Kluyveromyces lactis: one gene and its partner. Each later gene encodes a partner of the first gene's protein in a complex. Links are inferred from orthologs where the notes say so. Each region holds a gene or a part of one and is shown in the gene's direction. Other genes may lie near its edges.

Evidence for each region.
Region 2: the proteins of SSD1 (region 1) and CBK1 are in contact, whole or in part, in a crystal structure (PDB 5NCL), measured with the Saccharomyces cerevisiae proteins. The link is inferred for Kluyveromyces lactis from reciprocal best matches to the Saccharomyces cerevisiae genes SSD1 and CBK1. Residues at the interface, in NP_010579.1 of Saccharomyces cerevisiae: Phe211, Lys212, Phe213, Pro214; in NP_014238.3 of Saccharomyces cerevisiae: Asp450, Val451, Arg453, Phe454, Phe672, Arg673, Gly674, Val675, Ile680, Glu684, Ala685, Pro686.

Annotation. Positions count from the first base shown.
Region 1 is NC_006039.1:904,150-910,852, forward strand, and holds SSD1 (mRNA-binding translational repressor SSD1), read left to right. Parts: upstream 1-2,698; coding exon 2,699-6,232; downstream 6,233-6,703. Other genes in the region: PUT2 (1-pyrroline-5-carboxylate dehydrogenase), read left to right, coding at 1-1,469. UniProt on the Saccharomyces cerevisiae protein: Can suppress the lethality due to deletion of SIT4, and partially the defects due to BCY1 disruption. Is implicated in the control of the cell cycle G1 phase.
Region 2 is NC_006040.1:668,595-673,646, reverse strand, and holds CBK1 (serine/threonine protein kinase CBK1), read left to right. Parts: upstream 1-2,395; coding exon 2,396-4,552; downstream 4,553-5,052. Other genes in the region: RPL42A (60S ribosomal protein eL42), read left to right, coding at 965-968, 1,559-1,875. UniProt on the Saccharomyces cerevisiae protein: Protein kinase that seems to play a role in the regulation of cell morphogenesis and proliferation.

The DNA of each region.
Region 1 (6,703 bases):
CCAACCACTCTGAAGTTTTAGCTAACGTTACTCAGGCTACTAATGAAGATGTTAAAGCTGCAATCCAAGCTTCTAAACAAGCTAAGGACAAATGGTACAAATTGCCATATTACGAGCGTGCCTCCGTTTTCATGAAGGCAGCTGATTTGATTTGTACCAAATACCGTTATGACATGCTCGCTGCCACTATGTTGGGTCAAGGTAAGAATGTATACCAAGCAGAAATCGATTGCATCACTGAATTGGCTGATTTCTTCAGATTCAACGTGAAGTATGCTAATGAATTGTACGCCCAACAACCCATTGAATCTTCTCCCGGTGTATGGAACAGGGCTGAATACAGACCTTTAGAAGGCTTTGTGTATGCAGTAACTCCGTTCAATTTCACTGCCATTGCTGGTAATTTGATCGGTGCGCCTGCGTTGATGGGTAACACTGTTGTGTGGAAACCTTCTCAAAACGCCAATTTGTCCAACTACTTGTTATTAACTGTTTTGGAAGAAGCAGGTTTGCCAAATGGTGTTGTGAATTTTGTCCCAGGTAACGCAGTGGAAGTCACCAAGGAAGTTTTGAGCGACTCGGAATTCGCTGCTTTACATTTCACTGGTTCTACTGCTGTTTTCAAGCAACTATATGGAGATATCCAGAAGGGTGTTGTGAATGGTTTGTACAGAGACTATCCGCGTATTGTCGGTGAGACTGGTGGTAAGAATTTCCACTTGATCCATCCAAGTGCTAACATTCCTCATTCTGTTCTATCCACTTTGAGAGGTGCATTTGAGTTCCAAGGTCAAAAATGTTCTGCTACTTCCAGAGTATACTTGCCCGAAAGTAAGAGCGAGGAATTTTTTCGTGATTTAGGAGGTGTCTTATCTGAAGTTCAACCAGTGAACACATCGGCATCTAAGATTAACGGTGGTGATTTACACGGTTTTATTGGCCCGGTGATCCATGAAGGTAGTTTTGATAAATTGGCCAAAGTGATTGACGATGCCAAGAACGATCCAGAATTGGAAATTGTTTTCGGAGGCTTCCATGATAAATCTAAGGGTTATTACATCCAACCAACAATCATAAAGACTACAAATCCAAGACATCCTTATTTAAGCCAAGAATTCTTTGGTCCAATATTGACTGTATACGAATATCCAGACGCAAAATTCGAAGACGTGTGTGAACTGGTTGATTCCACCAGCCAATATGGTTTAACGGGATCCATATTCGCCCGTGACCGTGAGGCTATTAAGATCGCTGATGAAAAATTGAAATACAGTGCAGGAAACTTCTACATCAACGATAAATCTACCGGGGCTGTTGTCGCTCAACAATGGTTTGGTGGTGCCAGAATGAGCGGTACTAATGACAAGGCCGGGTCTGGAAATATCTTGAACAGATTTGTTAGCGTCAGGAACATCAAAGAAAACTATTATGAATTGACAGACTACAGATATCCATCCAATTACGAATAAGTATATCGACCTGCATGAACTTTAAATTCCCAATCTATATAAATGTACAAATACCTAAACTCTTCAAGAAATAAAGTCTTTTTTTAGCGAAACGGAGACAACCTTGGACATGTATACGACAGTCACGCTGTAAGTGCTACTTTCGATGGTGCATGCCCAAGATCTCTCAAGCAGCTTCATTGTATATGAGGATGCCTTGTCTTTCAAACAGGCACATGTCCGGGTGACATTACTTGTGAGGCTAAAAATACTCCATATATTATTACATGTAAAACAGTGTGGATCCACCTCGTTTTAGATAGAATATAATAAATAATATGAAAAAACATGCTAATTAGTGACAATTTTTTAATATTCTACTTGCAATAGACTTGTTGAACTGACGAACGATATCGTTCAACATAATGTTTCGTTGAGCTATGGACGGACTTTTCATACTTCTTGACTTTGGCGTCCAATCTAACTGACTTGTTCCGAATTTGACTTTTTGCAAGTGGAGGGTAACAGAAAAGATTTTTTTTAGAAACTGCTAAAAGTGGAAATAGCTGATTTTATAAAATGAATTTTTGAAGAAGTTGAATTTAGAAGGAAGAAAAGATCAATTTAAGGAGTAAAGCCAAATTTGATCCCCCAAAACAGAACGGACCAACAGCTTCAAAGTCCTGCAAAGCTATCAATTATAGTTTATAGAGGGTTATTTTCTCTCTGCGAGTGTGTTTTTTTCTGTTTTCTTAGGATTATCTATCTTCGTTTTACTCGGGCTTGAATATTTCTTTCTAGTTCCCTTCTTTTTTTTTGGAGTTTTGCAATACCGTGTGATACAAGGTTTTCGAAAGCTTTGTCATCAGTGATATCATTTACTTGTGCTTTCACCAAACATTGTACGTTTTACAATTTGACTTATCCTCAAGTGAAATAGCTTCTCCCCTCCTTTTGAAATCTCTTTTTGTCATTCTGTCGATCTTCCCGTTTTATTGCTAATTTGAAATTGGGACTTTTTATTTTCTTTGACGATATACATTATTGGCTTTTAGTTAAATTTTCCTTTGAACGGCTCAATCACTTATAGTTTTTGGCACTGATTGATAGAACTACGTCTTGAATTTATTGGCGGAATCTTAGCGGATTATCTCGGAATCATAGTAACTATAGAATCTGTGACCTGGATACCAAAATATAATATTTACAACAATATCAGTACTAAAGGGCAAAATTAACCTAAAGTTATTATGCCAGAACAAGAAAGATTTGTTCAGACTACCGGTGGTAAGGGTACTCCGAAGCAAATTCACATTGCTCATAGGAAATCTCCTTCTGAACTTACGAATTTAATGATTGAGCAGTTTACTCTACAAAAACAGATCGAGAATAATAGTAGTGGCGGAAACTTAGGCGTACAGGGACAATCTGCCGCCAACTTTTTACCGCAACCACCCAACGTGCAGTATCAACTGTCCCCAAATTCAGGTAATAGAAAAGGCAGGTCTCATTCTAGAAGTGGTTCTGCATTCTACAACAATAACGATCACAAACAAAATCCTGCTGCAGGTGGACACAGAAGAACTGGCTCTCAGACGAGCGTATATGGACATTCCAGAAGACAATCCATTGGTTTGAATGAAGCCAAGAGAGCCGCTGCAGAAGAACAAGCAAAAAGAGAAAGTGGACCTCAGATCAAAATTGACAATGTTCAAGATATCCCTAAGTTAGTCGATGAAAATGAACAAACGAGCTTCAAATTCCCTGGATCTCCAACAACCGAGTCTAAGAATCTAGGTCACCGTAGAACTCAGTCAAATATGTCCCCTAATAGATCATTCCAGTTTCCACCTGCTAAGTTGAACCAAAAGGAAAACAATGATGATTTCATACCCGTTGGAACCCCGCATCGTCGCACTAATTCGAAAAATGAAGGTATCGACGGTAATTGGAGGTTGCAACAACAGCAACAGCAGGTATCGCCATTTCATCACTCTAGAACGCATTCAAGAGAATATTCAGGCCACCCAGGTTTGGAACCACCACCTGTCTTCCAACCAGGTCATAAATCACGTGGATCCAATGCTTCTTCCCACAGTTTTACCTCGGCAAATGGCCAGCAAAACTCCAATGGCCGTAAATCACTTTTCGCACCCTATTTGCCACAAGCTAACATTCCTCAACTAATTGAAGAAGGCAAATTGGTTGCAGGTATTCTACGGGTCAACAAGAAAAATAGATCGGATGCCTGGGTTTCGACCAACGGTGTGTTGGACGCCGATATTTTCATTTGTGGTTCGAAGGATCGTAATAGAGCTTTGGAAGGTGATCTTGTTGCCGTTGAGCTTTTGATGGTTGACGATGTCTGGGAATCGAAAAAGGAAAAGGAAGAGAAGAAGAGAAGAAAAGATGCAAGCACTCAACAAGATATTATTCCACTAGACTCTAAAGATGATTACCATAATGATGCTTCAACAAGTATTGTTACAAGCGCATCATGCTCTAGTGAAAATAAAGGATCAGATGCTACATTGGGATCTTCATCTGGCTCCATCAAAAGAAGAGGATCATTGAAGCAGCGCCCAACTCAAAAGAAGAATGATGACGTAGAGGTTGAAGGTCAATCTTTATTATTGGTCGAGGAAGAAGAGATTAATGATGATTACAGGCCTTTGTACGCTGGACACGTAGTCGCGGTGTTAGACCGTATTCCGGGCCAACTATTTAGCGGTACTTTGGGTCTATTAAGACCATCTCAACAAGCGAACAACGATGTGAATAAGCCAAATAAGCCGAAAATTGTTTGGTTCAAACCTACCGATAAGAAAGTTCCTCTAATTGCCATTTCGATAGAACAGGCGCCTAAGGACTTCGTCGAAAATGCTGATAAGTATCTGAATAAAGTTTTCGTTGCTAGCATCAAGCGCTGGCCAATCACTTCTTTGCATCCCTTTGGTACTCTTGTCTCGCAATTAGGCGATGTGAACGATCCAAAAACTGAGATTGATTCAATTTTGAGAGACAATAATTTCTTAAGTGATGAATATTTAGACCCTCAGGACCGTACAAAGGAGAGAGATAGTTTTGCACCTGTATTGCTTTCAGAAGAGCAAAGCAAAACAAGGCGTACTTATGAAAATGTCATTGCCATTTCAGAAACTGGTGAAGTTTCTGATTATGCGGTCCATTTAAGAGACACTGACAACGGTAACCTTGAATTAGGATTTCATGTTGTTGATGTAACAGTCCATATTGAAGAAGGTTCATCTTTGGATAGAAGAGCTAGGAAAAGATCTAGCGCTGTCTTCATGCCACAGAAGACTGTTGGTTTGCTTCCAGCCGCTCTGAATGAATTCTTAAGTTTGCAGCCCGAGAAACTGTCAAACACTGTCAGTATAATATATGAACTGAAGCCTGAAAACTTTGATATTGTTACAACGTGGATAGGCGAGACTCGTGTCAAGCCAAACACCTCATTGACACATGACAGGCTTAATCAAGAATTGGAGAGATCTTCAGCTTCGGGCTCAAAGTTTGTTGAGAAACTTGAGGCAGTGGCTAAAGAATTTTACCGCTGTAGGCTTAACTCCAAAAATGCTGATTTATACAGGACTTTGCCCCTTTTGGAATCTCTCGATGACGAGAAGGTTAAAGTTGATTTGAATATTTTACAACGTTCTAAAGCTTTGACCCTTTTATCGGAAATAGAGCGTAAAGTGAATAATACCGTTGCTACTCGATTGTTCACTTCCCTGGGAGATGTTGCTTTCTTGAGAAGACAACCAGAACCAATTTCTACCAAATTGAAAACGTTCCAAAAGAAAGTTGAAAAACTTGGCGTTGAGATGGATATAACAAGTTCTGAATCAGTTTTGAATTCAATTCTTGCCATAGATAATAACACTACAAGAATGGCGGTTGAGTTATTTTTATCCAAGACCTTAACACCGGCTAAATATTTCATATCTGGTAAAGTCGAACCTGACCAATTTGCGCATTATTCATTGAATTTGCCATTGTTCACACATTTCACAGCTCCTTTGAGAAGATACTCTGATCATGTGGTTCATAGGCAGTTGAAGAGCATAATTAATGGTACAGAGTATAAAGAAACTATTGAATCTTTAAAAATCACGTCTGAATATTGTAATTTCAAAAAGGATTGTGCACATCACGCACAGGAACAGGCTATCCATTTACTCCTCTGCAAAACAACAAATGACATGGGGAATCAAAACGGTCAAGTACTAACTTTGGCCACTGTTTTGCAAGTATATGAATCTTCTTTTGATGTGTTTATCCCTGAATTAGGTATTGAAAAGAGAGTTCACGGTGATCAGTTACCTCTTGTTAAAGCAGAATTTGACGTTGCCGAGAGAGTCTTAGAACTCTACTGGAAGAAAGGTGTTGATAGTGCGACTTTTGTGCCATCTGACGAACAGAATCCAAAATCTTACAGAAACTCTATTAAAAATAAGTTTAACTCCAGCAGTAAAGAAATTGCTTTCAATCAAAACAGCTTGCAGAACAATTTGATTAGTGAGCAATTTAGCAAAGAATTGAAAGAATTGAAATTGACACCACCATCTTTGAATTTGCGAAAGTTCAACAACGCAGATGCATTGGAAGGATATTTCGAAACCACTGTCACAAGAGAAGAAGGTGACAACTATATTCAAGAGATCAGAGAACTTCAACAAGTTCCTCTACTCTTAAGAGCAGAAATTGGTATGGCGTTACCATGCTTGACTGTTCGTGCATTAAACCCATTTATGAGAAGTTGAACTCTTTCTCAAATGAGTTCCATTAATTTCTTCAGTTCTATTCACGTATCCGAACGGCGTATACCTATAACGCTTACATTTTTTATCTAATTTCATGTATATTATCTTGATATATGTCTATATAACGAATGCAAATTTTTCTAGTAACTCATTTGGAATATAGAAACTTCTTCTAGTTTCGTTTTTGTTAGTTGCAGTTAATAGAATTCTCTTTATTTGAGAAACAAATGTCACTTTAAGATCCTAAACCACAGAAATACTACAGACGAGTCGGGTACTAAATATGTATATCGTATCAGGAATTTCTAATGAAAAAAACCGATACCGAGCACAACAAGATTTTAGAGGTTTACCACTACTACTAGTGTTACACTTAATATCCTTCCCTTAGGTGTAGATCTTTGAATGTTGTTTTGGAATAATTTCAATAGGTGGTATACAAAAAGATCTATTTCCAACTTAATAGCTAAA
Region 2 (5,052 bases), on another chromosome or scaffold:
TTATTTACTCTTTTTATTCTTCTTCTTGTTCAATGTTTCGCATTCTTGTATTATAGGCAATTGGTTTTTCAGTAGGTTTCCCGATTTGGAATAATTGAATCTTTGTGCTCTGACGTGACGGATGGCCGAGGCACATCAGGATGGCTACCAAAGTCAATCTACATGCACCGAAAACATGCTTGCCGAAGCAAAGTTTACTTGAGCATCCTTGAGAAGGGACCGGCAAGAAAACCGGACCCTTGGTGGCAGCGTCCTTCTAAGGTACGTTCTCTTGTGTTAACGCTGTCCGGTATATTGAACCAATTAAAGAGGAAAAAAAGAAATTGATGCGCGTCAGTCTAAGCTGTCGACATTCAAGGGTTTAGTATCCTGAAAAGAAAGCTTGTATAGACAGAAGACGGTTCTTGTGACTGTTTGCATCCGTGCACCATAAAATCTCTCTTAACCACCCACACATTGATTTTCGTGTTCAATTGAAATGTGAAAAATAAAATTGTTTCCCAATTAGGACTATATTCGTCTGTGGGAAAATAACATTGCCTAGTGGCATTGGTGTGGCCTAACCAGGCCGAATCACTCACTTTCCACTAACAGACCTTCCTCCTGGTCGGTCTGGTCTGGGCTACCGGCAGTGTAGTCTCTCTTGCCAACACATTACGCATTCATGCTTGCTTCTGCCTACTGCTTCCCGCCCAGGCTAGCTTGGACCTGCGTAGTCGGGGGGCCAGTAACGCCTGCTCGTCTGGACTTGTTCGCCTTTCACTCTTGCTGCCGTCTCTGCTTCGATGGCTGCCATTCGGCAATTCTCATCTGGAAGGATTGAACCACCTTGAATTTTTCAACATTAAAATATTACACAAGGAAAGTTCATCATAGTAGATATATCGTATAGTTGATTGTTATAGCACCTATTTGTTTCAGTACATTCAGAAAGCGTAACTCAACAGAGATCAAATCAGTCACAATGGGTATGTGAACAAGATTTAAAATATACCGTGGAGATTGTCAGTGGTTTATTCGATTTTTGGTATCCTGAGGGAAGAATGGAACGTTTGAAGTTTAGTACCAAGTGAACATGAAATGAGCTATGGTTATTTAACAGAATACAGCATTTCAGAGTGAATCAATGAGAAAACACCAACCGTATTGGAAATTCAGATATTGCATCGACAAGGGGGGAGAGTTCATTTGAGTTGGTGAACTATATCAAAAGATCAGTATTTTGGTCGAAGTATGGACGATTCACTAGCATAAAACCCTGTTCACGCTGGAGGAAGTAATTTGGGTTATTTGTTGTCCCTATGTTTCTTAATTCGGTGTAGTCGAGACAACCTCAGAGAATTGTATATCAGTGAAGTCAACGCTACACTGACTGAACATAATTAACAGGAACTCAGTCGTATTAAACAACTGGGGTTCAGATAGCCTGGACCTCCCTATACAATAAGAAGAAGAGAATAGAATTCCTGCAATCAAAATAAGCTGGATGAAGCTAAAGAATATTTTTTTACTAACATCGACATGTATCACTATCTTATGATATGTTAATTTCTAACAGTTAACGTTCCAAAGACCAGAAAGACTTACTGTAAGGGTAAGGAGTGCCGTAAGCACGCCCAACACAAGGTTACCCAATACAAGGCTGGTAAGGCTTCCTTGTACGCTCAAGGTAAGAGAAGATATGACCGTAAACAATCTGGTTTCGGTGGTCAAACCAAGCAAATTTTCCACAAGAAAGCTAAGACTACCAAGAAGGTCGTTTTGAGATTGGAATGTATGTCCTGTAAGACCAAGACCCAATTGGCTTTGAAGAGATGTAAGCACTTCGAATTGGGTGGTGAAAAGAAGCAAAAGGGTCAAGCTTTGCAATTCTGAGATTATCTTTTGGAAGACCAATTTGTTACCATTTGTCAATTTTTTAACTTTTCTATAAGTATTACGAATTCACATATACTCTTTCATCACATTTATAATCTCATATCTGTCATTTGTATAGTTTAGTCTCCACTGGGTACTTCTTCACTTTGCGATTTGTATTATACGTATTCTAAGTATAATTTTCAGCAGAACGCATAAGAGTTTATTAACAAGAATTGTTTACAAAGAATAGCGTAGGACTCAGGCTACATTATTGATCCTGCAGGCAGTAAAGCTTACATATGACCTTAGCTAATATAACATGTACATACTCACCATGTATACCACTTTTTTCATTCCATTGTCTAAAATATGTTTTCAATATTTGCCATAATCGCCAATTTCATTGGAAAAACAAAAACATCGAATCAAACTTGTTTTAGAAAACAACGAACATGAAACTATACTGTTAACGTTTAGAGACATATTTCACGTCAACAAGGCCGTTTGGACGTCGCTACTTCAGCAACAACACGTAATGTACGGTGGATATTCGAATCAGAACTACTATCAACAGCCTTCTGGTCGTCCAAACGATTTTCAGCAACAGGGAAACATGCCCTTTTCGGAACCTTCTCAGCCCATGTTCAGCACCAATTATATGAAACAACAAGGATCACAGCCGTCTTTACAAGACCGTCTGACCCAACAGCAATCGCAACCTCAGTCGCATAATAATCAATATTATCCGAATGGAGGGTTTACTGATGTGCCCAACTTGAATTATCCAGCGACTCCACCACCAACTCAAAGCATTTATTCACATAACAACAACTCTAATTCGAAGGTATATCAATCCGCTCAGCATACATCTCCCGGTCAATATTCTGTTGCCAGTGAGTCCGGTTTGTACATCCCGCCACCACTGCAGCAACAGCAGAATGGTCAACAGAGTCCTGTGAGATCGGTACATCAACAGACACAGCAAACACCGCCAACATTTACTCAGCAACAAAGCTCTTCCCAACCTCAGTCACCTCAACACAATACGTATCATGCACAGCAGCAGCAGCAGCAGCAGCAGCAGCAACAACAAACTCAACAGGCCCAGCAGCAAGGACAACGACAAACTCAGCAACAGTCTCAGCAGCAAGCTCAACAACAGAATGGATCGGCGAATAATTACATGTATTTTGAGAGAAGACCTGACCTATTGACCAAAACTACCCAAGACAAAGCAGCTGCTGTTAAGCTCAAGATAGAGAACTTTTATCAGAGTAGTGTTGGTTATGCTATTGAAAGAAATCAAAGAAGATTGGAACTGGAATCCGAATTGGCATCCCAGGACTGGTCCGAGGAACGTAAGAATAGACAGCTTGCTTCTTTAGGTAAAAAGGAGTCACAATTTTTGAGACTACGTAGAACGAGATTATCGTTGGACGACTTCAATTCAGTGAAAGTCATCGGTAAAGGTGCCTTTGGTGAAGTTAGATTGGTACAAAAGAAAGACACAGGCAAGATATATGCTATGAAAACATTGCTGAAATCGGAAATGTACAACAAAGATCAGTTAGCTCACGTAAAGGCTGAAAGGGATGTTCTAGCGGGAAGTGATTCTCCGTGGGTTGTTTCATTGTATTATTCCTTTCAAGATTCACAATATTTGTATTTAATTATGGAGTTTTTGCCGGGTGGTGACTTGATGACCATGTTAATCAGATGGCAAATTTTCACAGAAGATGTGACAAGATTCTACATGGCAGAATGTATACTTGCTATCGAGGTCATTCATAAATTGGGCTTTATTCACAGAGATATTAAACCAGATAATATCTTGATAGATATTAGAGGCCACATTAAACTATCAGATTTTGGTTTGAGTACGGGGTTCCATAAGACTCACGATTCAAGTTACTACAAAAAGTTATTACAAGAGGACGAGGCAAAGAAACAACAGCAACAACAACAGCAACAACAGCAATTAAATCTACAAAAACCTCAGCTCCCAAACGAAACAAACAATGGTAATAGAAATACAATGTTGGTTGACGCCATTCATTTAACCATGACAAATAGACAACAAATGCAAACTTGGAGAAAGTCGCGTAGACTAATGGCATACTCTACTGTTGGTACTCCGGATTATATTGCACCTGAAATTTTCCTGTACCAAGGTTATGGTCAGGAATGTGATTGGTGGTCATTAGGAGCTATTATGTACGAGTGTCTAATTGGTTGGCCTCCATTTTGCTCTGAAACACCACAAGAAACGTATCGTAAGATCATGAATTTCGAACAAACTTTGCAATTCCCCGATGATATTCATATTTCTTATGAAGCTGAAGATCTAATCAGAAGATTGTTAACTCACTCTGAAAATCGTCTAGGTAGACATGGTGGTGCCGATGAAATTAAGGCACATCCTTTCTTCAGTGGTGTTGATTGGAACACTATCAGGCAAGTGGAAGCTCCTTATATTCCTAAGTTGTCCAGTGTCACAGATACTAGGTTCTTCCCAACTGATGAATTAGAAAATGTCCCTGATTCACCAGCAATGGCACAAGCTGCAAGACAAAGAGAACAGATGATGACACAGCAACAAGGGGTTCCTCAATCCAATGCAAAGGAAGATTTACCATTCATCGGGTACACGTACTCTAGGTTTGATTATCTAACTAGAAAGAATGCTCTATAGTAACGCTCTCTGTACATAACCGCGACGGAAGTTCCTAAATATAATAAAATAAACGAAAGTAAGAAATACTACCAAGAATTATAAACATTACGGTCATTAAAGTGGAGAAAATGTAGATACAGCTGATTCCCAATAGATCATAATCAAATTGACTCAATATCAGGCGCCCAGCAACGTACTTGGTATTAAATCTACGCTTCAACACAAATTATTAAAACCAGGAAATAGTGAACAACACATAACCCGGTCCCCGCGCAGAACGAAATCTTACACAGGGATAACCGTGGAGCGATAATATTGATGTTGATCTTTTAGGAAACAAATAGTAACTAAGGTTAAACTAAAATAGTTCTAATGTATTTAATCATTGAAAGGCCTATAAGTGGAAACGAAGAAATATGTATCTGATTTTATATACTGGCAAAAAAAATTTCATGTTAGTGTGAATGATCTCCTTACTCCGGGTAACGGAGTTTATCAAAGTGTTTTCCGTCCAATAT